Linked DNA regions of Schizosaccharomyces pombe. Changing the gene in region 3 together with the main gene of any one other region gives a genetic interaction. Each region holds a gene or a part of one and is shown on either strand. Other genes may lie near its edges. The genes, in order: sei1, SPOM_SPAC11E3.12, nrk1 and akr1.

Region 1 (8,904 bases), on a different chromosome or scaffold from region 3:
AACTGTTTTGAGTTGAAGCATTTCGCTTCGCAACTGACATATATTAGCATTGTTGGGATTGAAAAGGATGATTAACTATGCATACAGTGAAATTTCTTTAGCGCTAAAAGAATTAGTAAGTTAAAAGCCGTAAATTGAAAAAAAAAAAAAAACTAAAAAAACTCTTACGTATTAATGGTACTCTTCTAAAAGGATATTTTTTCATCAAGTAAGAATGTAGCCTTTCGAACTAGTTAGAAGAAAGAAAGAGAAAAGGAAAATAACTGTATGGAAAAGATATCCAAACAATTCGGAGAGCTTACCAAAAGAAATCACTGTATCGACGAAGAACTTCACGAGTGTTAGAAGAATCAGATATAATATAATTATTATGGCGATAGAAAAAGTAACCACTAGGCTCAAGGTCAATGTCAACATTCATTTCCAAACTAGCGGGAAATGAAGTTGAACTGGAAGCCAATCTAAACGAACTATGTCTACTGTTTGACAGTAACGGCTGAGTGGAAGGGGAAAGGCGATTAGGAATCTTCGAAAAGGGCTTTCTAGGGGTAATAGCATTATCATCGACAGAAGAATCAACGGAAAATTTTGGAGGTTGTTGCGAATGTAAGTTACCTGCTTCTAAAGTCGAAGGTGCAATGCTGCTGACAGTTGAAGAAGGATAGGAAAAGAATCCTTTCGGCTGCTTTTGAATATCAGGAAACGAACGGATGATGCTTTGCTGAGCGTGAGGGAGGGATTTATTGGAGACGTCGTCATCCTCTTGTTCTAAAATTTTTGATTCATTAATGGAAGGGACAATGTTGGATGAAAGATTCAAGGCGGTTGTTGAAGCAGGAGGAGAATTATTAGGAAAAAGAGGGGTTTCATTATCAGAACTACGATTGAAAAGTTCCGGATTAAAACGCTGCAAAATGGGCAGGACTAAGGAGGAGGAAGTAAGCAAAAAGACAAAAAAAAGCAAAGATAAAAAAAAGCCTTACCATTTCTTTGCTTGAAAATCTGTTCCAATGTGCTAGGAACACCTAATTGATAACAGGCAACCAAGGCAAGCAAAACGAAAAACTGAATTTGCCGTAAGGGTTGATTGCTTGATGATTCAATCAAGGTAAAGAACTCTTTCATTACATCTTGAGGAACATGAAATATATCAGAATAACTTTCTTCTTCTGGAAATAAGAGAACATTGTTTGCTTGAAACACGTCCCAATAATTTCGATATTGCAAAGGAATGGATGAATTACCTATAGACAAAAAAAAGAAAAAGAAAAAGGTTAGCATCATTACAGTAAGTAAGTAAAAAAGCAAGAAAGATGAAAAAAAAAAAAATCAAGCTAAAGAAACAAATCAATGATAGAATGCATCGATCCGTAAAATTAACTATTAATTGAGAAGGAAAAAACAGAAGAACAAAACTTTTACTAACCAATTGCTGTTTTATAATTTAAAGGCTTCACTGGTGAACCCCAATTACTGCTAGATGCCCATGGATCAGGCTCTAAAAATACATTATCGCCCATAAATGGAAACCCCGATGTTCTCTATCTTTTCGATGATCACTTCGTACAAAAGAGAAAGAAAACAAAGAAGATTTAATAAAATTTGAAAGCTAAGAGAGGTCCAATTGAAAATGTACAAATAATGCTGCTAGCAAAGAATTCTAAGCTGACAAACGAATTTTTCAAATCTTCACGAAAGTAAATGAATTTTCTTGTCTCTTGCACCAGTTAAAAATAAAATGATACGAGAAATAACTAAACTAGCGTACAGAGGTTTCAAAATATGTAAATGGCAGAAACCAGGTTTTACACGCTCAAACACATATACATATGGACAGTGTTAATTTCGCCAAAAAACCTTTGACGTCACATCGCTCGCTTCTCATAAAGTAACATGCTAACCAACTGTTTTGACTGAGTAGTAGCTATATAGAAAATGTAAATAGAAGACGTTTTCGAAAGAGTTGGCTAAATTGAAAGAAAAAGAAGTAATTTCTGTATTTATTGCACATTCTTGGATGAAAAAATCTGACCTTTTCTATGCATTTCTTTTTTTACGATCAAAACCTTGTATTTTTTAAAAAGTACAATATATACGACGTTGATTGACTAAAACGATTCAAGGATCAAAATATAAGTTAAGTAATCAACCAATCTTATTTGGAGTCTATGAAAGATTCTTGGGCGATCGTTGTTTGACCCGCAATTATAAATGCTGGCGTTCTAAATTACTGCAAATTCGCTTGAAGTTCTCAGAGGAATCGATCGATCTATAAAACAAATACGAATAGTTTCTACTTCACTAAAAATAATTTTTTTTTTTTTTTTTTTTAATTTGCGATTTCATTTGAATTATCACTTAAGTATGCACAGTACGACCAAGTTGTGGCCTTACTTTTCTAGCTGCTCTTAAATCAAGCATAAACATGATTTCTTCTAACATCTTTTTATCTATTTTCAAGTTTTATTTTAATCCGTCTTTTTCTGTGTACTTCTTTTTGGTCTCTCAAACCACTTGCTCAACAGCCCTACTGCCAAACCCTTGGATAGACCTTGCACGAAACCCAACTCACAACACTTAAGAAATGCGGTGAATTCGTGAACTGTTATGAAATGCACGCAGCTTTATGATAAATTCTAACAAAAAAATTCAAAACTGAATCCCATTCCCACTAGAATTGTGGTTCGTTTCCTGTATAATTATAATTGCCAGTTCCCTTTCCAAAATGCTAAATGAACGCGATTTTGACTTGATTTTCGATTCATATGACTTTAAACATGAAGGAAAAGTATGAAAAAAATTGATTGCTTATGCAGGTAGATCTTGTTTATTGAGTCAGAGACAAACTCTCAAGACTCTGGTTTTTCTCGCTTTACCCAATTACCAATAGGATAAACTATTAACAAAAAATTTTCTTAGGTTCATCTTTCCAACTTTTTGCCAATCATCAATGACCTACAACTCTTACATCCCGCTTCTGCACCACCTCTTTTGAGCGAATTCCAAAAACAATGTACACTCGAATTCGTACGGCAAAATGCAGATCTCTCTATTACAAAGGATAATTTTCGAGACGTATATAAAAAACTTACTGAAAACGAAGATGACTCTTTTGCGAATCAAGCTGAAAAGCCTTCGATGGAGCAACAGAATTCCAAAAATTCTATCAAAGAGGATGCAAATGAACACTCTGTCAATTCTGCACATTCAAAATCATCTTCTAATGCCTCTCCTGAATCCTTAAACCCTTCTCAAATGATGTCTAAGAGACTGTCCTTGCCGCCGATGTCTCAATTTACCGACAGTGATTTTGTCAATATTCTTCGAACTCCATTTGCCCAATCTACACCACTAAATAGGTAAGAATTTTTTTTTTAGAAAAGTCATTAAAATTCTAACAAGAAGAAATACGTCGTCCAGAAATACTGAGATGCCACTTGTTAGGAAGGATAAACCTGATTTTTCCAACGGGCACCATGATCTAATCAAGCAAATCACAGAACTCCAGGATATGTTAGATAAAGCTCGAGATCAAGCTAGAAAGAAATCTCGTACTGTAGATATTTTAGAAGGAAAAGTGAATGAACTTACCCACCAACTAAATATGGCAGATTCCAAATATAATGAATCTAAGGTAGCCAATAATTCGCAAAATAACCAAATTAAGACTCTTAAGGCTCAAAATCTAAACATTCACAAAAACTTTCAGAAAATTCAGTCAGAACTCATACAGACAAACTCTGGCCTCTACTCCACAAAAAAAGAGCTTTCAGCCTTGCAAGTTCGGTATGCCACTCTCTTGCGTAAGTTTACAGATCAGACTAAGAAAATTGAGGAATTAAGCTTGGCTGCATCTCGGTCAAGTGAAAATGAGAATACTATTCGTCGGCTTGCTTTAGAGAACCATGAATTAAAAAATTCTAATAATCAGCTAAACAACCACATAGATGATCTTACTAGAGAAAAACATTTAATTGCTTTGTCTAATAACCCAAAAGGAGATGAATTTTTATCACCCTCTAACCTTGACGAAATGGTTTACTCCAAAGAGGTTGGCCTTTCTTTCACTCAACCATCAGTTTGCATTTCTATTCCTGCGGTTGGAATGCGGGAAAGTGAAGAATTAAGAGAATTGGAATTTAAATGTAAACAACAAAAGAAAACGATAGAAGAATGCAAACACATAAGTCAATCATTGCAAAGCTCTCTTACTGCTGAAAGTTCGCGAAACAAAGAATTGGTTGCTGGATTTTTGATGCTTTCAGAGGAAATTGGTATCCAAAAATGGATTATTCAAAGCCTTTCCAAAATGTCTCCAACCCTAAACGACTTTTGTCGTCGGTACGATTCCTCTATGCCAACATATGAAGAATCAAGCCACGAATGCACAGTTCTTTCGAGCTTTAGTGACGATGAAACAGGACTCATGGCAACTAATACAACAATGAATAACTCCTCTAAAGATTTTATGGCGTCTCAAGATACTGTTAATGCAGACAACCCCCATTTTCTAGCAACGAAAGGACAACCTTTGCTTCTTTTATCGGTTATGAAATCCAACATTTTGCGACTTTTTTACGTCCTTTTTCTTTTTGCCTGTTTTTACGGACTTGATTACATATTGTGCGCCGAGCTATTGCAAGCTTTTTTGCGTGTTGTATTTACATTTTGCGAACATATAATTATACTCCTTTATGGACGGTATGAACTGGTACAGCCTTCTTGATAATTAGGCGACTAATAAATAATGACGAAAATGAAGATGCTAGCGAAAGATTTTTTTTTTCTAAAAAAAAAATCAGTGCTGATTTAAATTGCTTTACCCTTTTTCAACTTTTTGTACATAAAGGTGCAGCTGAATAATGGGTCTAACGGATAAAGCAATAATGGAACTTTCTAATTTAATAATAATGTATTTTTATGGTTGTGACGATTATGATTTTAGATGCAAGTGAAGATGTGAGAAGATTCAACGTCTTGTTGCTTTTGTTTCAGATGTGGAAGAGACAATAAGATAGGTAATTATCGTTGAGGTTATCCCCGTAAACCAAAATAAAGATGTGAAAACGAGAAATGCGGAAACCTTATGCGTATACATGAACCAGCTAGTAAGGACAAGTTAGTTTGTGAAAAAGTATAACAGGTAAAGAAATTGAGTAAAGTAAAAAAAATGAAGAAGGTAAATCAAAAAGTAAAACTTACCGCATGCCGTGCAATTTTGATGCAAAAGCTAGAGTCGCTTCGTAAAATTCAATATCTTTAGAATAAATTTTGACAATAGCTTGAGCTGGAGTATTTTTGACAGAAAATCTAACGGAAAGTGTTGTAATTGAATTAAAACTTTTAGCAAATGTTTCAGATTCGAACAAACGGACATTGACAATATCTGTTTCTTCCAAAATCCCCATGAAGTAAAGAGGTGAACATACAATTAGCTTAAGGTATTCGTGAATAGGAGACCTATGAGGAAGCAAGACTGTTCGTTTAACCTGCTTCAGAGATCTTTGATTTCTATCTTGAAAATCGACAGAAACCATAAAATTGCCCATAGCACTATTTCGAGGAGAATGCGGCATTTTGATTTGAAGCAAAGATGTGCCAGGTAACCTAGGATCAATTGAGAAATGGTCCAATCTGACCTCTGCAGTTGGAAAGTTGAGACCCGTTCTATTAAAGTATGTCAGCATGGATTCTAATTGCTTAACAAATGCACGAAACAGAAAGAGACATAGAGAAATCAGAACGCAGCTTAAAAGTTCCACCGCTACGATTCATTTCTACATGCGCTCTTCAAACCTTTTCCGTATATAAATTTTCAAACATACGTATAATTGAAATAAACTGGATATTGAATTACAGAATGAGGAATCACGGTATCGTAGAATATGACATAGCTTACTAAACTTGGTATGGAAAATAGTCCTATTACCAACATCCATACTACTAACTTGAATAATTTAACTAAATAACCCATGCTTAGGGCTTTCGTATGGATAACACTACTTGAATGAATCCTTGATCTCTAACCCAAGTTTTGGTGTAATGATTTACCACCGCGGCTTTATCCGCGGCTGGTCGGGTAAACTCACCACCAAAAATGTTACCAGTGAAAGCTCAACGACATGGTGGTGGATTACTTGGTGGGTATGTTATGAAGTTACAAAACAGTTAACTATTCCACTGCCAATTACAGACTAACCCACGCGTTAAAGCTGCTGTCAAAGTGTAATATTGTATTCGAAGAAATTGTGAGTTTTACACTATTTTCATCGAGATATAGTAATGGGTGAACAAAAAATAAATTTTCAAGCAGGGTTCTTGCTTCATTCGTACATTCTATCATTTCCCTAAATCCATTTTGTATATGCTTGAGAAATATATTGAAAATACTGTGGAGAAAAGTATAACAATGCATTGCTAACTGTCATTTAGTGAGTTATTTTTGTAACCGATATTCTTGCTGGCAATTAATTATCATAGGCATCACAGGGAGTATGCATGGTGCCCCCGAGTTCTTAACAAAAGTGAAACAGCAATATCTTCAGCAAGTTGACTTATATCGCTTTCAATGGGTAAGCAAGCCAACTGACTGGCCTATTCTCTTTAATGACTATGCACAAGTGTTTCTTTCGGAAATAGTGACACCCTCGGCATACACCAGGGCTTTTTTAAAATCATATTTTCGATTTTTAGACTCTATTGACAGCGGCCATAATGAACGAAACGAGGCACTGCTGTACACTTATATCGAATCTCTCTCCAGCACGTATATACCTCCTGTACAATATTCTTTAGGAGAGTATGATATTTTAATACGGGAATCCCGGCATGTTCTTTTGCGCGAAGGAACCACTGGAGCTCGTACATGGGAAGCAGGAATGGCTCTCGCCGAATACATATATCAACATCCCGTTCAATCAGGAATGAGGGTACTAGAGCTAGGAGCTGGTACAGGTCTTGTTAGTATACTATGTGCAAAAATGGGGTCCATCGTCTTGGCTACAGACGGTGATACAAAAGTGTGTGATGGTGTGCGAGAGAACGCTCGACTAAACAATTGTGATATAAATGTTAAAAAGTTACTATGGGGAGTAGATCCACCAGAATTCTCAGATATTGTTTTTGCATCCGACGTGGTAAGTCAAGAATCTTGAACTATAAATAGGAAATTGAAAAGTCGTGTTAAGGTTAAACTGCTAACGGAAACTTATTGTTTAATAATTAGTGCATTCTTTGATGCGTACTAATTATTATGCAGTATGTTATAGACTTACGATTGTGATTTAAGGTGCTTGGCTACTACCCTAACACAAATTATAACAATAAATCCAAATTGTAAAATTATCCTTAGCGCTAGTCTTCGACGACAAGAGACATTTTTTAACTTTTTGAAGCTCATCCAAAACCTCTATGCTCGACAGCTGGAGGTGTGGGATTCTCCCAAAATACTTTACTATGATAGTCCACCCATCGTCTTTTATGAAGTCTCTAAATAAACAAAATGAATGTCTAGACGGTTTCAATGCTGACAAATTTTCTACTATTTTAAACTCTACTGGTTTAATAAAATGGAGTTCTTAAAATCTCATCAGTATTTTATGGGTCGTTAGTATTGTCACCAAGTTAACTATACTTGCAGTTTCAATGTAAATAACAGCTATCACTACTTTTATTACCAATACTAACTAGCAGTGACAATCATAGATAAAGCTCGCAACCTTTGGTATCTCCATTAAAAGCACAAATATAATAAATAAGTGGTGAAACACGAAAATAATCACCTTTTTGTGAAGCTAAATTTTTTTTGTTTAGCCACATTATTAAATCGAAATAGCCACTAACGATATAGGGCATATGCTAAGCTTCATCCATTTGGAATTGAGTCTCTTCATCCAAAGTTGTATCGTAAGAAGCCACTACTTCTGTTGAAGTTTTTGATTTTTCAATAGAAGAGGCCATGTTAGACTTCAGGGTTTGTCCGTTTTCTAAAGTTTCAGATATTGCAGTCAAATTTCCTAAATTTTTAGGTGTAGTTGCTGTAAGCGGTTCCTGGGAAACCTTGTTAAGTGAAGGAGGAGTAGCTTTCTCAGATTCTTGTCGATGACGATCAAAAAATGCAACAAACCTACTGGAGGTGGGTGTTCCATTATAAGAATTGTAGGGTGTAGGATTCCCACTATTCAGGTTTGAAGAAACCTTTGACATAAATCTTGAAGCTGAGGAAGAACTTACTGCTTCATCACCATGGCTCATTTTTCGTTCCAACTCCTCTGGAGTCAAGAGTTCTTGCAAACTGTTGGGAATGAAATCTTCCTCATTAGCGAACTCGTCAGGAATGTCATAATTTACAGAGTCCTCTTGTGAAGTTCCCAAGGAAGAAGCCAGTAAAGATGTCCCCACAGGATTAAAACTTTGAAGTTTCGAGGTGAAAGAATGAGTTCGGTCAGTACTTTTAAGGAACTGTGATGAAAACGTCGAGGGACTAGTACCGAGGGAAGATATAAGATTGGGAACGCTCCGACGACTTGATAGTGGATAAAGGTTCTCAAGCGAACTAGGAGTAGCAGTAAGCGTACTACCATTTATTCCTGGAAACTTCCTACTCTTATTACTTCCGACGCTTGTTGGTACCGAAGGGCTTTTGGTAGGACGTCCAAGATTACCGGTTGCGGTAAAGGTATTCATAGAAAATCCCGGAGCCATAGATGCACTGTAAGAGCGATTTAGTATTGGGGGTTTCAAACCAAGAGACATAGATTCTGGATTGAATATGTTTCTCGTTCTGATTCCGCTGCCAAATGAGGCGGGTGAGATGTGATTGGAGTTAAGATGTGCCTCTGGCGTATGCGGATAGGAAGAACTAGATAGAAATTTGCTTCCAGAAAATGGAGAAGTAGAGCTTTT
Region 2 (7,850 bases), on a different chromosome or scaffold from region 3:
AATCAAAACAACGGATGATTTGAAGAAGTAATAAAAAAATTTTTGAAAAGAATTGTTGCTAAAAGCAAGATAGTTATAATAAATAAACAAATGATGAAAGATTAAACAGAAACAACCGCTATGAAAAATAAAACGAGACAAATGAAGAAAAGAGGTTTTTTCAGAAAAAATAATGTAAGGTAATAGAAAAGGGAGAATTGCGATGATATTCAAAAGAAAACAAAAACATCAACAATGAGAGAACTCGTCACAAAGTAATATCAAAAATAATAACAATAAAGTTAAACTACAAATTGACTTGTCGACGATTTGAAATTTAAGGAAGATTACCACTCAAGTCTCTACAGTCTCCGAGCAAACCACCGATCAACGTACCTGGTAGGCAATTCAAGAGATTACGAATTGATTTGAATCCAAACAAAAATGTAATAAAAACAAAAAAATAAATAGCAGGAAAAAATGAAATTATGATTCAAACAATACCTCCAATTCAACCAAAACCTCTTTGTGGAAAGATTAAATACTCGAGTTCCAGTTGATGGAAAAGGTTGACGGATTAAATGCGGAATAAGCTCGGCCCTTTGGTATATATATGTGCAAACGAGCTATAACGTACCAAACAAACTGGGAAAGAAAAAAAAAATTTCTTTTACTTTTTGTTGCTTTTTAAAAAGAAATTGTATATAGTACAGTTTTTGTGTAGTATTTTTAAGATGGAAATTTTTCACTCAATTCAAGAATGTAGTTGGGCTTCTATATAGTTTCTCCTTTGGCTGTTTACATATACATAGCCAAAACAAAGTCTTATGTCATAGTTAGCTTCGGTAATGAGTATGGTTGGAAAATTCCCTTATCCGATTACACTCTCGCTGGCTAACCATTATAGCAAAGCGTAACGAAATCTAGCGTACCTTGAAATGTATAGAATGGAGTTAGGTAAAGAAAGCATTTGGAGAACCCAAAACACACAGCTAAATATGTTAATTGGAGACAATTGTTTTTTATTCCCAAACACAGTTTTTATTAACCTTGAAGTTAACATAGATTTGTAGTCAGCTTGAGAACGGATGCAAGAACTCATTTGATATGTTCAAGTCAATGCAAGCGAATATGAATGATTTTGAGTCACATGGGTGATTGATAGATAGTGTGTATTCGGAGTCGGTTGCATTGTTAATTCCTACAAATTACTCTTTCCAAATGCCGCCCCCTTTTCATCTTTCTTTTCTTCTTATTTAATTATCTTCCATCTTCTTCCTCTTGTATTTGCTACCCAATAACACTATTACCTAGCAATTGTTTACGTCTGCATTTTTACTAAGCATTCCTTTGCTACACGTAATAATATACATTTATAAGATTTAGCCGCCCAAGGTAAAGGATGTAAGGATGTGAAAACCGGTAGCGTAGAGCAAAAGGAGGATATGGTGGAATTGCAGCAAAATATCGCTTGACCTTGTATGAAGTAGAAAAAAAGTTAAAATAAGAAGATAATCATTTTGGGCAAAATTCAATGTATTTGTAAAAATTATAATAAAAGTCGAAGAGGCGAAAAGAGGAAATATGTACAAAGGAATTTGGATAAAGACGCAGTAGAAGTAGATGGAAATTGGTTCCTTAGTTTTGTAAGTTTAATTTCTTTGTTTGAGAATTTCGACAAAGAAAAGCTATTTCGGAGGGAAATTTTCTTTTTCTTTTGCTTTTTCGGATCTTTGTTACAACACATTTAATTTCTTCATCAGGGTGAAACTTTGCGTCACTGCGATTCCTACGTTTTGCGCTTTAAAAATTAATTTTCTTGCCGACCGCTTTCACAAACCTCAGAGACGGCAGATAGTAAAGCGCACAGAAACTCTTAGTAGAGAAGAGAATGGGGCGTAAAAAGCCAGTCAGTAGATAATTAAAAGAAAGAAAGGAAGCAGTAGGAAAACATTCAACGGAGTGGTATGATAAAGGAAGAGTAATAAGACAAAAAAAAGAGGAATTGATCATAAAAACATCTGGTTTCTTAAAAAGGATTGGCTACAGGCATTATGCAACTAGTTACTGGTATTTAGACGATTAGTCCTAAACAAACGGAGACAGAAATGAGCATAGCCATTATTTATGCAACACCTCATTATTTATGCAATACCGCCGAAAAATATAGAAACGCACAAATCAAAAGAAGCGAAAGAAATCCAAAAGCTCTAGCAAAGTGAGCGTTTGTTGTCAAGATGTAAACCAAGTCTTATGCTACCGCATTCTAAGTTCTTCCTATATAATCTATAGAGGGTGGAAGTACCAACATAGTTCATTGAAGTTGTTTTTGAGCAACATTCTGACTGCAACTCATAACATACATCGCCAAAACATTTTTTTTTTCTTTGCATTTGCAGCTCGATTAAAACATTCTATTATCCTTGCTTGTTTCTTGGCACATGTGAACTATGAGTGACACCGTTCTTTGTTTATTAATTTGTCATTGGTCGACCATCAAATGAGTGCTTTGTCGAAGTTTGCCAAAAAAAAAGCTTTAAAAGATGGTTTTGATTTCTTCCTTTAACTTCCCTTCTATTTTGTCTTTTCCTTTAATTACCCTAGAATAATCATAGATGCAATTGCAATGTTCTACCGCTTCTTTCTCGAAAATGCGTTGAATGAACCAGAATTGGAACGGTTCGTTGAACCATTCATTTTCGACGTCTTTTTTCAATGTAGCCGCTTCTTCTTTTCTTCTTTACTCTATATGCTTTCGTATATTTCCGTCTTCTTTGCATTTCCCTACATGTTTGTATAAATAGTCACACTTCCATGTTTGTTTACATGACACGTATTGTTTGTTTACGATCCACTGTAACTACCAATTATATCCTATCAAATGAGTTACCTCTCGTCTCCACTTTCTCCATCGCTTGTTACTACATGTTTCTTCAAGTCACAGTTGCTGTTGCTTGTCTCGTAAAAAACCGGTCACACCGCTACCATATATAGTGGGATAGCTTATTCATTACAAATCAGAGCAATATCCAATTCATCTGCATTCTTTATAAAGGATCTTGTGCACGTTCGCTACATCATAAGAAGCCATTCTTTTTCTTAATCGTGAAGAACGCGTTCTTTTTTCATAAGAATTATTTCTTTTCTTATTTGGTAGATACTTTCATCTTTCCATTTAATTTTATTCCATTTTTTTCATTTTCCATTTCTCTCTTCATTTTTTTTATTTTTTTCATTTTTCATCATTTTCAACATTTTTTCGTAAATATTGGCATTCCTTTCATTTTCATTTCATATTCCCATTTTTCTCTTTTTCATTTCTACTATCATTTTTAACGAGTAACTTGCTTTTCTCTCTTTACTTTTAACTGAAAGTATCGATCCATTCATTTCTCTTTTTTTTGCTATCTTTTTATTCAAAATAACCCTCGTTCGTTTTTTTTCCTCGAACTGAACCTATATCTGCTATGAACTTCCTCCATTTTTTAACCACTTCTCTTTTACTTTTGGGAGGTTCTCGTCTAGCCTTGGCTGACTCTGCCTCTTCCGCTATCAAAATCAAGGGAAACGCCTTTTTCAATAGTGATACTAATGAGCGTTTTTACGTCCGTGGTGTTGATTACCAACCAGGCGGCTCATCCACTCTAGTGGATCCTCTTGCTGATACTAGTATTTGCAAACGTGATCTTCCTTATCTCCAAGGTTTGAACATTAACACCATTCGTGTATACCAGGTCGATAATTCTGCTAATCACGACGAGTGCATGAGTGCTCTTCAAGATGCAGGTATATATGTTATCCTTGATTTGGCTACTTCTTCTAACTCTATTTCTCGTTTGGATGCAGCATCAAGTTATAATGCTGTTTTCTTACAAGGTATCTTTGCTACCATCGATGCTTTCAAGAACTACACAAATGTTTTGGGCTTCTTTGCTGGCAATGAAGTTGCAAACACTGCCGAAAATTCCGCTACTACCACTTGGGTCAAGGCAGCTCTTCGCGATGCTAAAGAATACATCTCAAAGAATTCAGACCGCGATATTCCTGTCGGCTATTCCGCTGCGGACGTAGCTGAGATCCGTGTACAATGCGCCGATTTCTTTGCTTGTGGTAACTCTTCTGTACGTGCTGACTTTTATGGTATGAACATGTATGAATGGTGTGGTGCCGATTCTAGCTTTACCATCTCCGGCTACGATCAGCGTATGGAGGAATTTGCAAACTACTCTATTCCATTGTTTTTGTCTGAATATGGTTGTAACGATGTTACTAAGGAATCCGATGGTACTCCTGATCGTCCTTTCGACGAGGTCGATGCTATTTTCTCTAGCGAAATGTCTTCTGTATTCTCTGGCGGACTCGTCTATCAGTATTCTGAAGAGGGCAATAACTATGGATTAGTTGTTATTGATGGCGATAATGTTACAATTAGCAAGAACTATGAAACCTTAAAGGAAAAGTACGCTTCCGCTGCTAACTATACTGGAGACGGTGATTATTCTTCAAGTCCCGCTACCCTCACTTGTCCTGCTGACGATTCTTATTTTACTAGTTTCCCTCTTCCTACCATGCCTTCTGAAGCCAAAGGTTTCATTGAGTCGGGTGCTGGACAACCCCTTGGCTTCAATGCCCCCAGCAACCAAGAGTTTAGTGCCAATGCTACTGCTTTAGTATCTCCTGGTCCTCACAGTGTCTCCACTACCATCAACACAAACATTGTTCAAGCCACTATTAGCCAGTCCTCTACCTCAGGTTCCAGCTCCGGATCCTCTTCAGCGTCAACCACAGCCTCATCCTCTTCCGTATCCTCCGGATCTTCCATATCTTCTGGCTCTTCAAGTATGAGTACAAGTTATACATCTGCTAGTGGTAGCTCTGCTCATAGCAGTGGATCTAGTTCTGGAAGCTCCTCGGCTACTTCTTCCGCTTCTACTTTTAACCTTTCTCGCTTTTACGTCTTTGCTGGTATACTGGCAATTAGCGGACTTGTTTTTGCTTAATGATTATTTTTCATACCACTCGCTTTCATTTTTCGTAAATTTTTTCAAGTTTGCTGATTCGAAATTTTTTTTTACATTTCATTTTTTTTCAATCGCTCATCTTTCATCATTAGCTTTATTCTCTCATCTTTAGCTTATTTTCATTTGGCTCATTCGCATTCCATTTTGTGCCTTTTTTAAATTTTGATCTTTTTTCATACGTATCCATTAGCATCATCATTTAGATTGCTCATATATTACATTTGCATTATCGACTAACATCGTCGTGTAGTTATTAATTAATAGCCAACTTTGGTAGAGGGGCTTGTGCTCTTGATCTTAAAAAAGATTAATGCTGATTTCTGTAGCTGTGTTGATTAAAGTGTTTCGCGTAATCATAATTAACAACGTGTGTAACAATGATGGATGAAAAATACTTCTCAAGTTCATTATTGATATATTCGAAACAAAACAGATTTTGTGAAGTGATTTTCGTTTGTAAAATGTCCCCATGTTTTCTCGTTGATATACTTTTCTTTCATAAGCTACCTAATTTGTTTGAACAATCTAACGCCAAAACTTCGTAAACCAAATCCTTTTACATCATAATAATAGGTACAGACTTGGTCATTTTCATTTTATGTCTTCATCCTAATTTTTCTTTTGGGTCAATGCTTCCATTATGTCTACTAACTTTTCCTTAGTATTCACTCCATAAATCTTGTCATTAATCCACATAGCTGGTCCTTGAAAACAGTTTCCCAAACACCCCTAAAAGCAATAGAAATTAGTACATCGTTAATTGCTATAGAATATTTACCGTATTCTCGACATCAAAGCCATATTTGGTCGCTACAGACCGACATTGGCTATCCCAATTGGAATTGCCTTGCTCCTCAGCAGCTTGTTGGCACATCCAAGAATTGCAAATACGAACACGCGGTTTTTTAGGCCTCCAGAAAAAATCATTAGGGTATGCCAAACTACATTTGGTTAGAAACAAAGTAAAGCACAATCATTATGTGTTATTTACTTAACATACATTAACGAATGCACATAATCAATTGATACGCCTGCTAGAGAAGCAATTTCATACATTGCTGTCGGAGGAATCCAAGTCCCATGCTGTCGTTGCGCAAGATCTAATAATGGTACCAAAGCAGCACTTTGGAAGCGTAGAGGATATCTAGCAAGTATAGCCTTTGCAAGCTGAAGATTCTCTGGTTTAAAAAAACGTATTGGTTTCATCGTTGTTAGAACCAAACAATCATCGATAATCGTAGTGTAGAAATATCATTAAAATGAGAAAGAAAAAAAAATGTTAGTGTTTAATTAATTATTTTTTAGTATTTAGGAATGGCTAAATTTGAAACGGTATTTTGGGGATGAGGAGCAGCGTTGCTTTTGCTTATCCCGTTAACACCTGGGGTTGACTACTCCAGGATTTAAGTTCGTTTCTCTCAAACAGAGAAGACTTTTTTGAATAATTAGGCATATATTATCTTTTTTGCTTTTGTAAATTGCAGGTTTATCGAAGATATTCCCTGACTTGAATCAAGTCTAATCTGCACGTTCTTTTAATATTCACTATCTTTTAACTGCTTATTCATTCTTTATTTTTTTTTCAGCCCCATTAGTAAAATCTCTCTGCAGTTGCTCGGTGCATGCTATACTTTTAGGCTAATGCCATGAGCAGAAACGCTTCCAATGCGTACCTTAAAAATGGGAATTCCACTCCGTCGAATGACAAAAGGAGCCCTTCTTCTCTTTCACAAAGGTCAAAAACTTCAACTCGTTCTTCAAAACCATTTTTACAGCGTCTTTTTCCTTCCACTTGGTTCAAAAACGAATCATCGAGTCGTCACCCTCTGACTTCTATCAAAGAAAATGATACTCAGACAATTGGGAGAAGGCCTTCAATGCGTGTAAAATTGTTTGGTAAAGATAAATCGAAGGCTTCTATGTCAACCAATGATTTGCCTAGTCATCCTCGCTCTCAATCTGTAATGGGATTCTCTTCTTCTACTTCTCAATTAACTGGGACCAGCAATTCTAGCAGGACTCGCTTAAATAAAGATATGAGACGAGATTTTGGTATGACATCTATGTCTAGTATCACTTCTTCTACTCCTACTCCATCGCAATTACCTGTTAGACCCTCAACTTCACTTTCATTTTTTGATGATATCCCCTTAGGACCTTCTTTTAGTGCTGAAACTATACTTTCCAGTTTAAGTATCTCGACTTCTAATAATGCTATGTCTAAGACTACTCCTGCACCACCTTTAGTAACCACAAAATCAATTTCTGCTGACCAAGATGATTTTTATACTTGTAAGGAGGAAGTATCTACTTATGAAGGTTTGAATAGTCAAATTGAACTTTCACCAGTAAAATCTAGAGATTCACAAAACAAATCCGCTAAAAATCTCAGCACTGCGTATCGTACTGTCAGTGGGGAATCTCGTAATTTAATGGTGGACCCGAAAGTTAGTCCTTATGGAAATTCCAGAACTCCTTTGAGAGATTCGTCTAATTATTTGAGAGATAGGAGAAGTATTAATCGTCAATCTAGTCTTTCTATTCCTAAAAGTACATCAGAAACTACGAGAAAAACCTTAGCTCTTTCCAACGGAGGAATTGATCAATCTAGGGTATCATCAGATTCTTTCAAAGTTGACGATAGTTCAGCCAAAATGGCTGCCATCGATATTTGGGAAGGTTCACAACATATCGTCTCAAATGATAAAGCGTTATCGTGGCTTGTCACAGATAAACCATACAACAAAGCTGTTTTGAAACACTACATTTCACTTTACGATTTTGAAAATACAGACATTCTTCAATCATTGAGAATGATTTGTGGAAATTTATACGTGCATGGTGAAACCC
Region 3 (6,395 bases):
TTGACAAGCCTTAATGACTTGCAAGTTGGGGACACCAACTTCGGGGTGCTTGGGGAGGTTGAAATCTACGCTTGTTAGTTAAACCTTGGTCTACGACGTTTTTTAGACATTACCCTTCTTAGCAACGAGGACACCTTGTTGGAACAAAGCTTGATGAATGGCCTTGCGGTTCTCCTTGGGAATAAGCATTTTGTGAGGAATTTGCACGCTGCAACTTGTCGTTTCTGTGTTGAGGTCTACACAGTGACTGTTTTTTTAAAGCACATTTAGGGTAGGGTATGGTCTTTTAAAGAGATAAGGAATTTTGTTACAATCCGTTAATGGGTCTTTTTCCAAGAAGTAAACAATGGAACCTTGAAAACGTTAAGGCTAATAGGAAAGCAAATCTATGACTATGGAATAAAGCACAAGTTCATTACAACAGATTAAAAAATTTTCTTTAAGAAAGCAACAATAATAATCTATAGTTTTCTTATTTATGCACTCCAAAACATCAAGCATGAGAAAATTACTATTTAGAAACAAGCCAATATTTTATCATTGTTTACCGCCTACCAAAAGATGACATTAAATAGTAGATTCAAAAATTGGAATCTCATATCTAGCAATAACATACATATCATAACTATCCTCTCAATCTTAATCTTGGAAGTCGATGCCCTATTAATATCGCCGACGAAGATTTGATGGTGTCCATGGCAAATTGGGATGTGTTTCAGGTGTGGCATTGTCCACTTGTTTGTATATCTTTACGCTTTTATCAGCCTCACAAGTAATTAGACGCAAACCGGTTTTATCAAAAGAACTAGCAAAGATTCCAGCTTCGCTATCCAATGAACCAGGTTGAACAACAGATTGAAGCTCTTGATATTTGTGACCAGACTTCCAATCCCAAAAGCACATGCTTCCATTATCAGCACCAGAAAACATAACATTATCTGAGTTTATTGAAAGAGTATTAACGATTGCATTATGTCCTTCAAAATTACCCATAAATGCGCCTTCAGGGAATTTCCAATGTTTGATATTGTCGGACGAGCCACTGGCAAAAGTAAATTCATCTGGATGCAAAGACAGGGCACGAACAGTTTTTTTGTGATGTGTCAAGGTCGTCAAGGTTTTCCCAGCTGCTAAATCCCATAATCTGATAGTAGAATCCATGGAACCCGTGACTACTTGAGGATCGAATTCTTGAACGGCTAAAGAAGCAACAGTGGATTTGTGGCCCGATAAAACATGGACATTTTGGCGAGTGCGCATATCCCAAACACGAGCGACTGCATCACGACCAGCGGTAACAAGGACGTCAAGTGTTGGATGGAGTTTTAAGGCATAGACTCCGGAAAGATGCCCGTGATAATGGCGGATCACTTTATTAGTTTCGAGGTCCCAGCATTTTACCATTTTGTCTTCACCACAGGAAAATAAATATGGATGACGGGGAGATACTGCTAATCCTCGCACAGTGGCGATATGCCCAGTCAATGTTAGCTTAAGTACTCCAGACGCTAAGTCCCATATTTTGATGGTGCGGTCCCCAGCACCCGTGCAAAACCATTGATTACCGGGTTCAACATCTACGCATCGAACCCAACCCAAATGACCACTAATAACACGCATAAGAGTCCATGGAGCATGCCATTCAGGGCGAATCTGTTCGGCAAGAGTGCGCTTTACGAGAGAAGCCTGGGATTCTCCGGCAATTCTATGTGCTGCTTCAGGAACTCCTTTAATTTTTTCTAAAGATTGCATGGAAACCTGCCCTGCTATTTTCTTATTAGGATCTGAAAACTTGGTGATCACTTGGGAGGAAGGGTTTTCACTGTCTGCTCTAACCGTCAAAGCATTACTACCAATAGTGTCTTCTTCGTAATGTCGGTTCTTCCGTTTTCCAACAGTTCCTCCAAGAACAGAACCATATTCTAAATGTTCTTTGTATGTTCTTTTGAGATTTTGAGCTACAGTATCGTCAAAACTGGTAACTGACCCAAACTCGGCTCCAAAAAGAGTTTTTGATGTTCTAAGACTATTTGTAGTCAAAGAAAGTACATCTGTATCATCCGATATGTTTTTTGCTTCTGTCATAAATCTGTTAAATTTTTGGTAGAGGATTTGTAGGTAGATGGCAGTTGGACTGACTTATTTGAAGCATCATAATCCACGAACATTAGCGAACGAGAAATATTAAGTACTAATATTTGAGAATAAAGTAGCTTACAAATGAATTGTCAAAATAAAAAAAGGGATGGTTATCAAGTAATAAAAGTTTGTAATATATATACATTTATTAAACGGTCTAGTTACGGATTATTAATAACATGATGTTCTAAAAGCGATAGTAGCAATAAATATATGGAGAGGAGGAAATGATGGAAAGTAATTAATTAACCCTGAATTTAAAAAGTAAATCATGCACAGGTAGTCTTGTCTAAAAAGAAAAAAAAGAAGCGGTAGAGAGGATTTGTGTATAAGTCAGGTAGTACTCAGAAAATACAAGTCGAAGAAAAGATAGATCAAAACGGATCATTGTAAAGCATTCAAAATTGAATTAATGGCCCATTGGACGTTATCTCTCACAGACATTTTACTAGAAGGGCTTAACTGTATACGCTTATCAAGCAATTTCCCTGTCACATCGCCATTGACAAACAAATGGGAATGACCATGTACATAGCCAGGCCAAACATAATTTTCGAAATAATGTGGGGGGTCTTGCCAAAATCCTGGAACAATTTGGAGTTAGCCTTAACTGAAAGGTACAACGATTAAACACAGGTGTTATGTTTTATCTGGATAGTTGAATTCTTACCTTCCAACGTTATATAACCAGTACGGGCTTCTCTACGACGCTTAAGCGTATCAAAATCGGTCACCAGCATCAGTCGAATATCAAATGCGTTTATAAGGTCTTCATTAACGTACATCATAAATCCGTCTACGAAAACGAGATGCTGTTCCAAAGTTGGAATGGCCGGTGCCTTGAATTCTTTAATTATATCAGCGTATTCTATTAGGGCTTCAGGAGCAACATTTTTATTTTCCCTATTTCGAAGGTGAGTAGGTAACACGCCATGATCACGGATATAATGCAAATTTTCAAGGAAAGCGTCTAAATTCAACGACTCTTGGCAATCCCAATCGGCAATGCCGTTTTTGACTGGTATCTCAGCATCAGTCTACAAAACAAACGAGTTAGTATATCAATAGGTGCTTTGGCACTACATAAAAACACAGTGTTTGCTTCATCGATAAGATTCAACCATCGGTTTTTAAAACGAGGGTACGATTTATTCTATGACACTTGCAAAATTCGCACGACTAGGCAAATAGACGAAATAATCTAAACGAACCTTGTAAAAATCATCTTCATGAACGAGAGAAGATCCTTCAAAAATGGCATGTAAAAGCTGGCATAGAGTCTGTCAAAACAAGAAAGAGAAATTGGTTAGTACTTCATTTTTTTTTTATTTTGGAGTTTTTGATTTTATTTTATTCTTTCTTATTAATCAAAATTATCATACCGATTTTCCACTACAAGAGGCACCACTAATTTTTTCTTGTTAATAAAAATTCATTAAAACAATTGCCTGTAGAACTTACCTAACCCCAACAATGATAGTTTTCCGAGTCATTCTAATGATAATATGGAAAAATGAAGGTAAAAATTGAGACAAGAAGCCTGGACAGAAGCTGGATACTGGAATTCGGTCTGTTATATTTGCACAACACAATTAATTAATTACCAGCCAAAAGCTGTAAGACAGGTTAACCGAATTTTAAAAAGAATTTGGATTTAAACAAAGCGCCTAGTATCTTAAATCAAGCTCGATGATTATTTGTTATGGAAATAAACGAGAATTTTAAAAAGATATGTGGTAAAGAAGCCGAATCCACAAAATTTTATAACAACCAACAAAACTTTTAGATATACAAGAACAAGTAAAAGATCACTTATAACGATTTCGCAAGTATAAGAAAATGGAAAAAGAAAGGAGTATACAAATTCTTTACGGTATAAATGGAGGATTTGAAAGATAATTTAAATTCACCAAATATTAACGCTTTCGAATACGTATAAGAATTTTTATATGGCAAATATGCCCGGTAAAGATTAATGGTGTTTTGAGTTATTGATCGTTTAAAACAAGAGTGAAATAGGAGGAAGGCTGGAGTTGGTAGTATGAAGATATGGTTAGTAGTATAATCAGTCAATAATACAAGGCTTTGGATGATAGCAATATACTAATCCGCTCCCGTCATGTATCCTTTACGAAAAGATAGGGTAGATAATAAGAGTAAAAAATACAATTTTTGTTTAAAATATATATATTTTTTGATTAGATAAAAAAAAGTGGTTCACTTTTTTTATTTATTTAGCCAAAGTATGTAGGAAATTGGAATTCTTTAATTGTTTTGCGAAAATTATTTTATTAATTATTGCTTTTTCCTTTCAAATTTGTGATAAACTATGTCTGAATAATATTAGTTTGCTATTTTCATTTTTTAAGTCGTTTTAATGTCTTTTGCTTATTGTTTACATTACACTTACTTAGTTCTACGGTAGCAAAGTTTTTATCAACTCCATGAAATGCGAATATTTCGATGAATTTAAAAAATATATGTATATTGGTTGAGTTTCTTGAGGCCTTGTTAAACGATTTTTGTAGTACTACACTTAGTAAATATAAAATTTTTTAACACTAGGTGTTTGGCTTCAGTTTTCCAATTTGACTAGCTTCAATTGCTTTTCCAAAAAAAAAATAAAAAAATAAATAAAATATAATAAAGCTATAAATTGCATGTAAATTGGATGAAACAATAGAATTAGTAATAATAATAAATACTGAATTCAAACATTAAGGAAATTTAAGGACACTATTTTAAAAATGAAATCAATATTGATCGAATTTCAATGGATCTGTATTGAATGCCAATGTAATTAGGAAATTAAAAGACCTTTTGGTTTAATAAAAAAATAAAAAAAGCCGTACCGATCTCTACCTTTGTTCATTATATCAATCTAATATGAGACGTAAAACTACGGATTATGAATAGTAAGTTTTCAAAGAGATTATAAAATAATACTCTTTGCATAAATTCTTCTCATCCTTTCAATTAACAGCGAAACGACGAAACACTGACAATCAATTAAATAAAAAAAAATACTATATCAGTGAGGAACGTCAAGTGAAGCTCAAGATTCGAAGTTGGCAATGAACTTTTATCCTCATAGAATTTCAAATCTATCCACATGTCTGTAAACAATGCATCAATGTATGGATATTACCAATGTACTAAACTGATCGTGGACAAATAATCTCAGAAAAGTCAATTTTTAAACAATATTGTTTTTGTAAAGATACTACTTCTGTTGTTTAGTCCAAAAATCCACTTACTCTACTATGTGCTTTCCTTTTCTTATAACGCATTGTTACGAACTTCATTTATTTACTTTTCCTTACAAACCTTCCATTCGTAAACCAGCATGTGGAAAACCTAAGATATCCCAAATTTTTTGGAGCCTTTAATTGTGCAATTGTAAATAAAAAATCTACATAACAAATTGTCTTAACCAAGTTGACAACGTCTTAATTTGTTGGTGCCAGCAGTGCATTTTGCGTGCAATGCGCAGAAGGGCCAGATCCATTCGTTTTAGTTCTGACGATAATGAAGATAATGAAGAAGATGATGATTATTACTCCAACGCACACAGCGAAAAATCAGAGGATCATTCAAATCATATAAAAGTTTCACATTTTGATCCTTCCTCCTATAAACAAAAGTTAGTTTCAGTGCGTGAAACTCAAAGAAATAGAAAATTCTCTTCGTTACAGAAACATCTAAACACAGAAACGCCTTCTTTTTCTGTTTCTATAGAAAATCCTTCAAAGCCTTCTGCGGCATTCAATGATGCATCATTGGGAAAGAAGAGTACTGAACATCAAATTGATGGTATCAGAAATGGAAGTAGTAACCTTCAAATGGAAGGAAATGATAAAGAGCTAGACACTGATAATAATGAGGACGAATCCACTACCTTTAAGGATGAAGAAGACGATTTGATAAGTCCGAAATCATATCTTACTTCTTCAAAAACCTTTTCGTATCCAAAAGCTCCAACAGAATCAACAAATGGTGATTATTTAGATGAAGACTACGTAGATGGACAAAGTGATCCTGAGTCTTCGAACGCCAGTGATTCTGACTTCGCGGATAGCCCTGATGATTTGACAAAAGTGCGCTCACCCATTCCAAGTAGAAGAGGACGTAGAAAAAGAAAAATGAGAGGTCCAATTTTGCCAGTTAAAAAAAATTTAAGGGTCAAGAAGGCAATGAGTCCTCTTCGCGCTGAGCGAAATTCACCAGATTTCCGACGCAAACTTCGTAGTCGTGAC
Region 4 (8,111 bases), on a different chromosome or scaffold from region 3:
GTAGGTTCATAGGACGTGAAGCAGAAAACGAAAGAAAGCCAAAATTGTGAATGACCAGTTCACCACTAGATGTAGGATCGAACACGTTTTCCGATAATTGTGTCGGTTTAATACTTACGGTAAAAGAAGAATGCATCGGCGACGGAGAGTGAGTTACTAAAGGAACATTATCATTTTTCGTAGAATTTTCAAGTGATTGTAATTTTGTTATAGAGGTAATATGAGCGGGAAGTTTTGTAAATAACTTAATCAAAAGAGGTTTCATATTATTGGTATTGCCTTTTGTTTTCTTATTTTTTAAAGTCGAGAACAAAAAGTGTATCGTGGTGCTCGAAGGATCTTCCTTTTTAAACATAATTGGCTTTCCAACTTCATGATTTCCATCTTCATTTATTTCAAAAGGCGTAACACGAACTAGTCCACCTAAAATAATAGACTGACCGAAACGAACACGATACTGAACAGGCTTACTTGTGAGTTGCTTATTTCTAGACCTTGTTTTAGGTACGAGACTTGTCAATAGCTTAGTATCAACCCAGGGTAATAAAGATTTCAAGTTACCACGGTATCCAGGAGTATCAAAAATTAAGCCTTCAGATAATTGCTTAAAACAGGAACCGAAATATTGTGTAGGATACCCTTTTATTGCTTGAGTGGTTCCTGGTAAAAAACTGTCAAGCAAAAGCTCATTAAAAACACCATTTCCCCGTTTAGCCAAAGTTTTTAGCAATGTAGATTTTCCAGAATTTGCTTCGCCTACGACATATACATGACCTCGCGAACATAGCAAGGGATTTATCCTTCCCAAGAGCTTATCAACTAGGTTGAAAGAATGCGATGTGTAAAGCATAGCATACTTTGAAGAAATTCCTAACCCAGGAAACAACCAGTATGGCTTTTTTGGAGGTAATACATCCGCATGCGTAAATAAATGGAAAACTGGGAAATGAGTGTATTGAGTAGCTGAAACAAAATCTTGAAATATAACTTCAGTAACATCTATAACCTGTATTATCAAACAAGTACTTTTATCATTATTCACCGTACTAATGATATCTGGTAGAGTAGTCTGGGGTTCTTGTAACAACTCCTTTGGACGTATGCGAGAATGAAATTTTAAATCATGACATCTTTGGCACCATAATAAATCAGTTCTTCCAATCTCCTTTTCATGAAAAGGAAAACTCGTTGTATTTGGGAAATGCTTTTTTATTTGTGGGTTGAGATTTTTAAAAGCATTATTAAAGATTGCTTGCTCATCGAGATTTTTCTTTAATAAATTAGAAACTGAACCTTTGCTAAAAATGCCACTTAATTTTAGTGGCTTTATATATCCGGTAGCAGACTCGTTCGCGGACTGTAATGTTTGTCCACATCCCCGGCAAAACTTGGTAAAACTCATGGTAGAAATTTAGTTTTATTAAACCCGTTTGGTTTTGTTGTAATAAATCGGCAACAAAAATTTAGAATATCGCTGAAGTAAAGATGTTTAAGGTCTGATAGGATAGAGAAAAAGCTTCAAAAGCTGTTATTATTTACAGAATAAGGTGAATTCGATAAGCTCTAATATTAAGTTAATTGCTTTTGTTAATCATTTCCAAACTCAACATCTATATATTGAAAAGAAAAAGTTCCTTTGTTGGATTTGATATAAGGGAATTTCTCATCTGCTGTGTAACAAACAATGTATTATTTTTAAATGTAATTATCCTGTGCTGGAAGTGGATTGGATTTGAAGCATTTTAAGCCAGCGAAATAGAAAATTTCCGGGGATCAACGTACTAAACACTGGTTTAAGGAAATTTCTTTTTATTTGTATAAAAATAGTAAACGCTCCAAGTATAATTCAGTTTTTGAACACCATTACTGATGGAGTGATAGTATGACAGCAGAATAAAGGTTGCTCGATTCACCACCAATGAATCTGGCGAAAGGCTTGCACCGTACTATAGACACCATTGAACCAGTGTGTCTTTCTACGAGCAAAATTATTATATTTATAATTACTTCTTTTCGTTTTTATTCATGATTGTATGTAATTTTGTACGATTAGGAGTTTGACCACCAGATCTATTCCTATTGTTCTTTCATATTTGCCTGAAATTTGCAACCTCCCGATTTACATTTTGTAACAATTAGTGACCAACAAAATCATTGAACTGCACCTTTATGGGTTCATTATTTTTAGCCGCTAGTCAGGGAGAACTTGACACAGTTAAAAATTTGATATCTTCTGAAAAGATAGATGTTAATGCTACAGATGAAGGTGGAGCAACTGCATTACACTGGGCAGCTCTGAACCAGCAAATTCCAATATGTAAATTTTTGTTAGAACATGGCGCCGATGTGAATGCAATAGGCGGAGATTTACAGGCCGCTCCAATACATTGGGCTGCTAAACGTGGCTCTGTGAAGACTGTTCACTACTTAGTTCAGCATGGTGCGGACCCATTACTCAAAGATAAACAAGGTTTCAATTGTTTGCATTTGGCAGTCCACGCTGCAAGTCCTTTACTAGTAGTATATTTGTTGCATCTCGATATTTCTGTCGATTTACGTGATGATCAGCAGCACACACCTCTGATGTGGGCTTCATACCATGGGAATGAGCCTATAACAAACTGTCTTTTGCGATGGGGTGCAGATGTATTGGCTACAGATGAAGATAAAATGACCCCTTTACATTGGTCCATTGTAGGTGGAAATCTAAAATGCATGAAACTGATTTTAAAAGAGGGAGGCATTCCCTGTACTGCAGTTACCGCTAATTTAAGTGGACAGCTGAAAACCCCTTGGGCTCTAGCGTCAGAACTTCGCGTCTCTCACTTATTTAAACAGGCATTAATTTCAAATGGATTAAAAGTTAAAGAAACCTCTGAAGAACCTGAAAAATGGGTCGTTGTTCCTAGTAAATTTCAATTTTCGCAAAAAACATTTATTATTTTTTGCTTTTTATCGTCCTTTATAATTACTGGCGTCTTTTTTTTTATTATGTCAATTTGCCCAATGGTCATCTCCTTGATAATCGCTCCTTTGTGGATTTACTTTACGTTCAAATATATTACAACATGCATTCATGCGAATATTGACATAGTACATTTCTATCTTGAAACTCCATTCTTGGCTGGCATATTTTCCTCAATTTTCTTCTGGGTATGGTGTCATTCTTTGTTATATATAGTACCTAAGACGTTACCCATAAAACCTCTCTCTTCTCTTTTATTTGTTTTGATTTCATTTACTTGTATTGGATTATATGTTCGTACAGCTTTTCAAAATCCTGGATATGTAGACAAAATTGGTGCCGTCGTTCAACGTCGTGAAGAAATTAGCAAATTATTGGACAAGGATCTTTTTAATCAATCTCATTATTGTTTAAAATGCTTTCAAGTTAAGCCTCCTCGTTCTTATCATTGTGGAGCTTGTAAAAGGTGTATTAATCGTTATGATCACCATTGTCCTTGGACTGGAAATTGCGTAGGGGCACGGAACCATAGAACATTCCTTCTTTTTGTCTTCACATTGTCTACTTTAATTCCTATTTATTTTTACGTTGCATTTTATTATTTACAGAATATCCCCATTCAAAAAAAATACGAGTCGTATAGGTGCCTTTTTATTTCTGGTACCATATGCCAGTGGTCTTTAAAAGACATGTTTGTGTTAGTTGCTTCTCTAACTTTGTTTGTGAATTGGTGTTGGGTAGTTGTTTTAGCTTTTACCCAGATTTGTCAAGTTGCTCACAACGTGACCACAGCCGAATTCCGACTATTTAAACGATATGGAACTCTCGTTCCTCCTACAAAGCAAAATTCATCTCCAAAAAATGGTCACGGAATTCATGGAAGCTTTCTACGTACAGTATGTGGTATCCTGGGATTGGATCAGTGTATATTGTTAATTAGAGAATCAAATTGCTTTGTGAGATGTTTCCCATCGAGAGCTGAGTTAGGTTCCCAAAATTCTACCTCTTTGTCTCGTAATCTTTCCACAGTCAATCCATATGATGAGGGTAGCATAATTAAGAACTGTAAGACATTTTGGAAGCAAAACTTTCTTAACGATGGTCGGCAAGATGAGGCAACAAGACATGTTTAAATTGTTGTCGATTAAAAATTTAATTATAAACATTAAGAATGGAACGTTAGAATGCCTGATAACGTTAAAAAGTTATCACTTCATCATTTAATTTTAATCCCTCCACGGATCATCGTTGCGGGAGTGTTGAGTTAAGTTAGACTAGAATATTCGCGATTCACTCTGAATCTCATTAAATGCTAGCTATGTCACGTATCGTGAAATCCTTGATTTGTAGAACGGCTCGTTTCTTATTCCAAGGTCGTTGGACCCTGTTGCAACGTGAGGGAGGATGAGATTGAAACAAGTAAAGGTTTACTTGAACTTCAAGTTTTCTTGTGTGCGTGTGAACTGATGAAACCTGGCGTCTTGCTATTAATTTTTGCAATGAAAAGATTTTTGTTTCATTTTTGCTATGTAGAGATTGGCTATATATGGCTAGATCATAATTTTTGCAGAAAATTGGGCTTTAGGATTGTTTAATCCAACAAAAAATATCAATCTTTTATAGCGGCTCAAGTGTTCTTGTTATCTTTATGAGATACGCTTTTGTTATTTAGAAACGTGTATAGGTCTCTAGTTTTTCTTTTCTTTTCTAGTGTAAGAAATGGGTAATGGAGGATTCACGAATACATTACAATAAGACTATATTAGTAAAATAGAATACAGTTAAGTGGAAAAGATTACAGAAGAAACCAAGTCATTAGTAGTTCGTTGAAGATATCGCAATGTAGTTTGAAACCTAATATCTGCTTCTTTACGTGTTCTAATTACTTTAATATTAATTAATAAAACAAATTGTATTGCTTTTTTTTATGAATAAGGACAATTAGTGCTAAACATTAAGTATACAACCAAAATTTTTACGTAAACTGACAAAATTTACAAACAATTTAAGTAGAGTGTTATGAACGAGCATATGCCTTTTTTCTACTTTATGGCATTTGTTTCTCTGCTAACCCGAGTTTCTAAAAAAAAAAACGAAAGCCGATGATCACGGTGAATCAAATGACTAAACGCCTTGGCCGGTAAATATGTAAATCTCCGTAGCAACCTTTACGCCTTGACAATCGTTAGTTTGCAGAGTTGAAGAAAAGTCGATATGTTTAGGTCAATAGCTACCGAGTCTACTTTTCTACGCTACAGCGGCATTGAAGTTAGCAGAAGACTCAATTTTGCAGGAGACTATTTAGCTATCTGATCAGTCAGTGTAATAATTAGAGAGCGCTTTCGCTCACCCTTCTTGGCGGCCACCATAAAGCGACTCACAGCGAAATTGTGTATAGAGATTAAGCAACAGCGGAATATTTTGATAAATACAAATTAGATAGTCAATGAATTACTAAGCTGAATAGAATGAAAAAGAAAGAAAAATCCAAAGTGAAAATTGACAGTTACTGAGCTTGTCTACGCCCCCTAAATTTCACGCGGAAAATATTCCTCTACCGTGCAAGGCGGAGACTTTTGAACAATGTGTTAGCTTAGGATTTAAGTCACATCTTAGCAAAGCGTTCAGGGAAGAAGACATACGGTCAAAGTTATCATTTTTGTGTGATTTTCATTATTTATTGTTGCACGAGATAATTTAAATTTTCATGCAGAAGATTTATTTTTTTTTTTGGAATTTATTCTGCTCGGCCAACATTCTTGATTATTCTTGTTTACATTTTTTTATGAGCGGCTTATCGTTAGATATCACTTGTCACTTGGCACTACATGCTTTTTTCTATGAATTATTCCTTTGATATCGACTAATCATCTGAAATAGCGAGGCGAGATTTCGACAGAAGCTTTACCCCCATAAAAATTTTCGTTGTGTTTATACAAAGTGGAAGATGATTACATGTCTGCATTTGTATCAAGTTAGTCTAACTATTTGCTTGAGTCCCACGCTGCTTAGCACACAATCACATACGTACGTGGGCGAAATTGTGTGAAACTCTCGGGGAGCCACTTCGGCTGCTTATTTATTTACTTTTATTTACAACGCGGCGTTGATGGAAAAATTCTAAAACAGTGTGTGAAAACTTGGTTTGCGCGTGCTTGTTAGTGGGCCATTCTAATATATGTCTATACTGGCATATATTTACTTTATTTTACCACTATTACTATTTAACTCATTGCCGCAATCCATACAAGTGCATTCTTTTTTGTTTGTTTTCGTTGCCATGCTCGTTGTCAAGTGTTTACATTCGATTGTGCACTCGCGCTCTGTCGTTGAAGGAACATCCAGAATTAATGTTACCTTGGGCGGCATATTCACATGTTGGTGTACGCTGGATAATCGTTAATGGCATGTAGCTTGTTTCTCTCTATAAGCACGCAGTAATATTAGTGCAGTAACGAAAAGCCGTTAACGTGCTCACTACCAAATACTCAACCACACGAATAGCCGCTGGCTATATCTAATATTCTTTCTCTTTTCATTTCTTTTTTCTCAAAAACATATTTCTTTCTCTACCATTTGCATTTATATGAGTGTATTACTTTGAAGCTTTGATTTTTTTTGTTTCGCGGTATACTTATTGATTATTCGCTAATACTGGTACTTGTTTCTCTTATTTTTTTTCTGTTTCTCCTTTATTTGCTTTTTAAGCAACCTTTTAAATCTACCTGTGAAATAAATATCATCGCCTTTTTTCATTTTCTTTTTTCATTTCCACATTCTTTTCTCTTCTTACTCCTCTGTGATACTATATTTTGGGTCGTTAGAACGCATTGACTTCAATCTACTTTCTCTTCCCTGCATTTTTACCAAGCCTTCCGAATATATTTATTCCAGTTTTTCTATATTCTTTTTTTTTATTTTTTTTACTTCCATTGTACTCCTCATAATCATTATTATCTTGGAAATTTAACTTTCCCTTTTCATTTTTTTCTTCTCTAAAACTCCTTCTTTCACTGTCGACCATACTGTTGACTTTTCTCCTCTTCTTTTATAAGATAAAATACACTTCTACGCGTCTTTAGAATTCTTTGATTGATTATTCTTTCGTACTACTTTGAATTGTATACTTTGCTTTTTTGGTCATACTCTTGTTCATTTCACTTTGTTTTATTCTCCATCAATTTCTTGGAGTAAGTCTAATACTCTTGTTCGGTATCTTTACTTAGTAAGCTTAATTTTTTAAAAAATTAAAAAAAAAAAAATTTTTACCATTGTTAGGCTCATATTCCTTTCCACATCATTCAAGATTTTGTTGAGGTTGTTGTGATCTGCTTGTTTCATTCGCATTTTTTCCTTCCATTTATTCGCTTTGCCTACGTGCCTCTCAGTCTAAGTTTCCTTATTCAGTTTGGGAATTACGAGTTTTCTTATTTTTAGAATTAAAAAATACGTTGGACGTTGACAGTTTTCTTTTGGCTAAGATTTTCCGTTGCTATTAATTATTGTCTTTCTCGTCTAATTGAGTTTTTTAAACAGACTTGTTGTTAGCTTTAAGCGATATTGTTTAACTATTCATTTATTACCCGCTTGGATTTTTATCGTTAAACGCATCATAAGTTGCCTCCTAAGTTCGTGAGCTTTATTGGTCCGATTTTGGTTTTCGATATATTTCAAAGTGATATAAATTGTAAGATATACCCCTTTATTATTTGTTACCAAACGTCACTCTCGTTGATTTCTTTATTTTACATTTCTTCCTTTGTCAATCAAGCAGCTGTGCTCTTAGTATAATTCTTTCTTTAACAGTTATTGATTTCGGTCATTATGTCTTCTAGCAGTCCCTCTAGTCAGTCCCGTCTTTCTGTCCCTGGAAGAACTCCACATTTACCACCACTTACTATCCCTCATACTGTAAGTGCTGAAGGTCTCGCTACACCAAACACACCGCATGCTCTACTCCCTACCGGGCTTCTTATGGGGAGTCCTTTTGTTCAAAGCCCAACGAGCTATACTTCCATGCATGGCTTGCCCTTTAGCACTACCCAAATGGCAGCGGCTCCCGCTCATCCCACGACTGGCTATAATGTTTCACGTGTTACCAGTCCTAATGTTGCTAACTTTGCCCCGGGTTACTTTCCACTTCCGA

The links.
Region 1: mutations in nrk1 (region 3) and sei1 together harm fitness more than expected from each alone (negative genetic interaction), as found in Schizosaccharomyces pombe (one large-scale study listed by BioGRID).
Region 2: mutations in nrk1 (region 3) and SPOM_SPAC11E3.12 together harm fitness more than expected from each alone (negative genetic interaction), as found in Schizosaccharomyces pombe (one large-scale study listed by BioGRID).
Region 4: mutations in nrk1 (region 3) and akr1 together harm fitness less than expected from each alone (positive genetic interaction), as found in Schizosaccharomyces pombe (one large-scale study listed by BioGRID).

What each region holds. Positions count from the first base shown.
Region 1 is NC_003424.3:3,460,340-3,469,243, forward strand, and holds sei1 (seipin), read right to left. Parts: upstream 6,006-8,904; 5' UTR 5,975-6,005; coding exon 5,826-5,974; exon of another isoform or gene 5,706-5,825; intron 5,668-5,705; coding exon 5,203-5,667; intron 5,106-5,202; coding exon 4,970-5,105; 3' UTR 4,727-4,969; coding exon of another isoform or gene 3,406-4,726; 3' UTR 3,360-3,405; coding exon of another isoform or gene 2,920-3,359; 3' UTR 2,789-2,919; coding exon of another isoform or gene 2,726-2,788; 3' UTR 2,333-2,725; downstream 1-2,332. Other genes in the region: protein Kms1, read left to right, coding at 2,726-2,788, 2,920-3,359, 3,406-4,726; efm3 (methyltransferase), read left to right, coding at 6,495-7,136, 7,269-7,496; zinc finger protein Cps3 , read right to left, coding at 7,858-8,904.
Region 2 is NC_003424.3:5,304,194-5,312,043, reverse strand, and holds SPOM_SPAC11E3.12 (uncharacterized protein), read right to left. Parts: upstream 6,321-7,850; 5' UTR 6,207-6,320; coding exon 6,001-6,206; intron 5,942-6,000; coding exon 5,779-5,941; intron 5,730-5,778; coding exon 5,610-5,729; 3' UTR 4,996-5,609; exon of another isoform or gene 4,980-4,995; coding exon of another isoform or gene 3,447-4,979; 3' UTR 3,358-3,446; downstream 1-3,357. Other genes in the region: 1,3-beta-glucanosyltransferase Gas5, read left to right, coding at 3,447-4,979; syt22 (guanyl-nucleotide exchange factor), read left to right, coding at 6,647-7,850.
Region 3 is NC_003423.3:1,441,802-1,448,196, reverse strand, and holds nrk1 (nicotinamide riboside kinase), read right to left. Parts: upstream 3,633-6,395; coding exon 3,601-3,632; exon of another isoform or gene 3,547-3,600; coding exon 3,522-3,546; exon of another isoform or gene 3,420-3,521; coding exon 3,351-3,419; exon of another isoform or gene 3,299-3,350; intron 3,177-3,298; coding exon 2,810-3,176; intron 2,724-2,809; coding exon 2,524-2,723; 3' UTR 2,266-2,523; downstream 1-2,265. Other genes in the region: rps1002 (40S ribosomal protein eS10), read right to left, coding at 1-65, 114-189; Prp19 complex WD repeat protein Prp5, read right to left, coding at 664-2,085; abo2 (ATPase histone chaperone), read left to right, coding at 5,625-6,395. UniProt on the Schizosaccharomyces pombe protein: Catalyzes the phosphorylation of nicotinamide riboside (NR) and nicotinic acid riboside (NaR) to form nicotinamide mononucleotide (NMN) and nicotinic acid mononucleotide (NaMN).
Region 4 is NC_003424.3:548,842-556,952, forward strand, and holds akr1 (palmitoyltransferase Akr1), read left to right. Parts: upstream 1-1,926; 5' UTR 1,927-2,169; coding exon 2,170-4,098; 3' UTR 4,099-4,754; downstream 4,755-8,111. Other genes in the region: gep3 (GTPase-like protein), read right to left, coding at 1-1,402; RNA-binding protein Nrd1, read left to right, coding at 7,790-8,111. UniProt on the Schizosaccharomyces pombe protein: Palmitoyltransferase specific for casein kinase 1.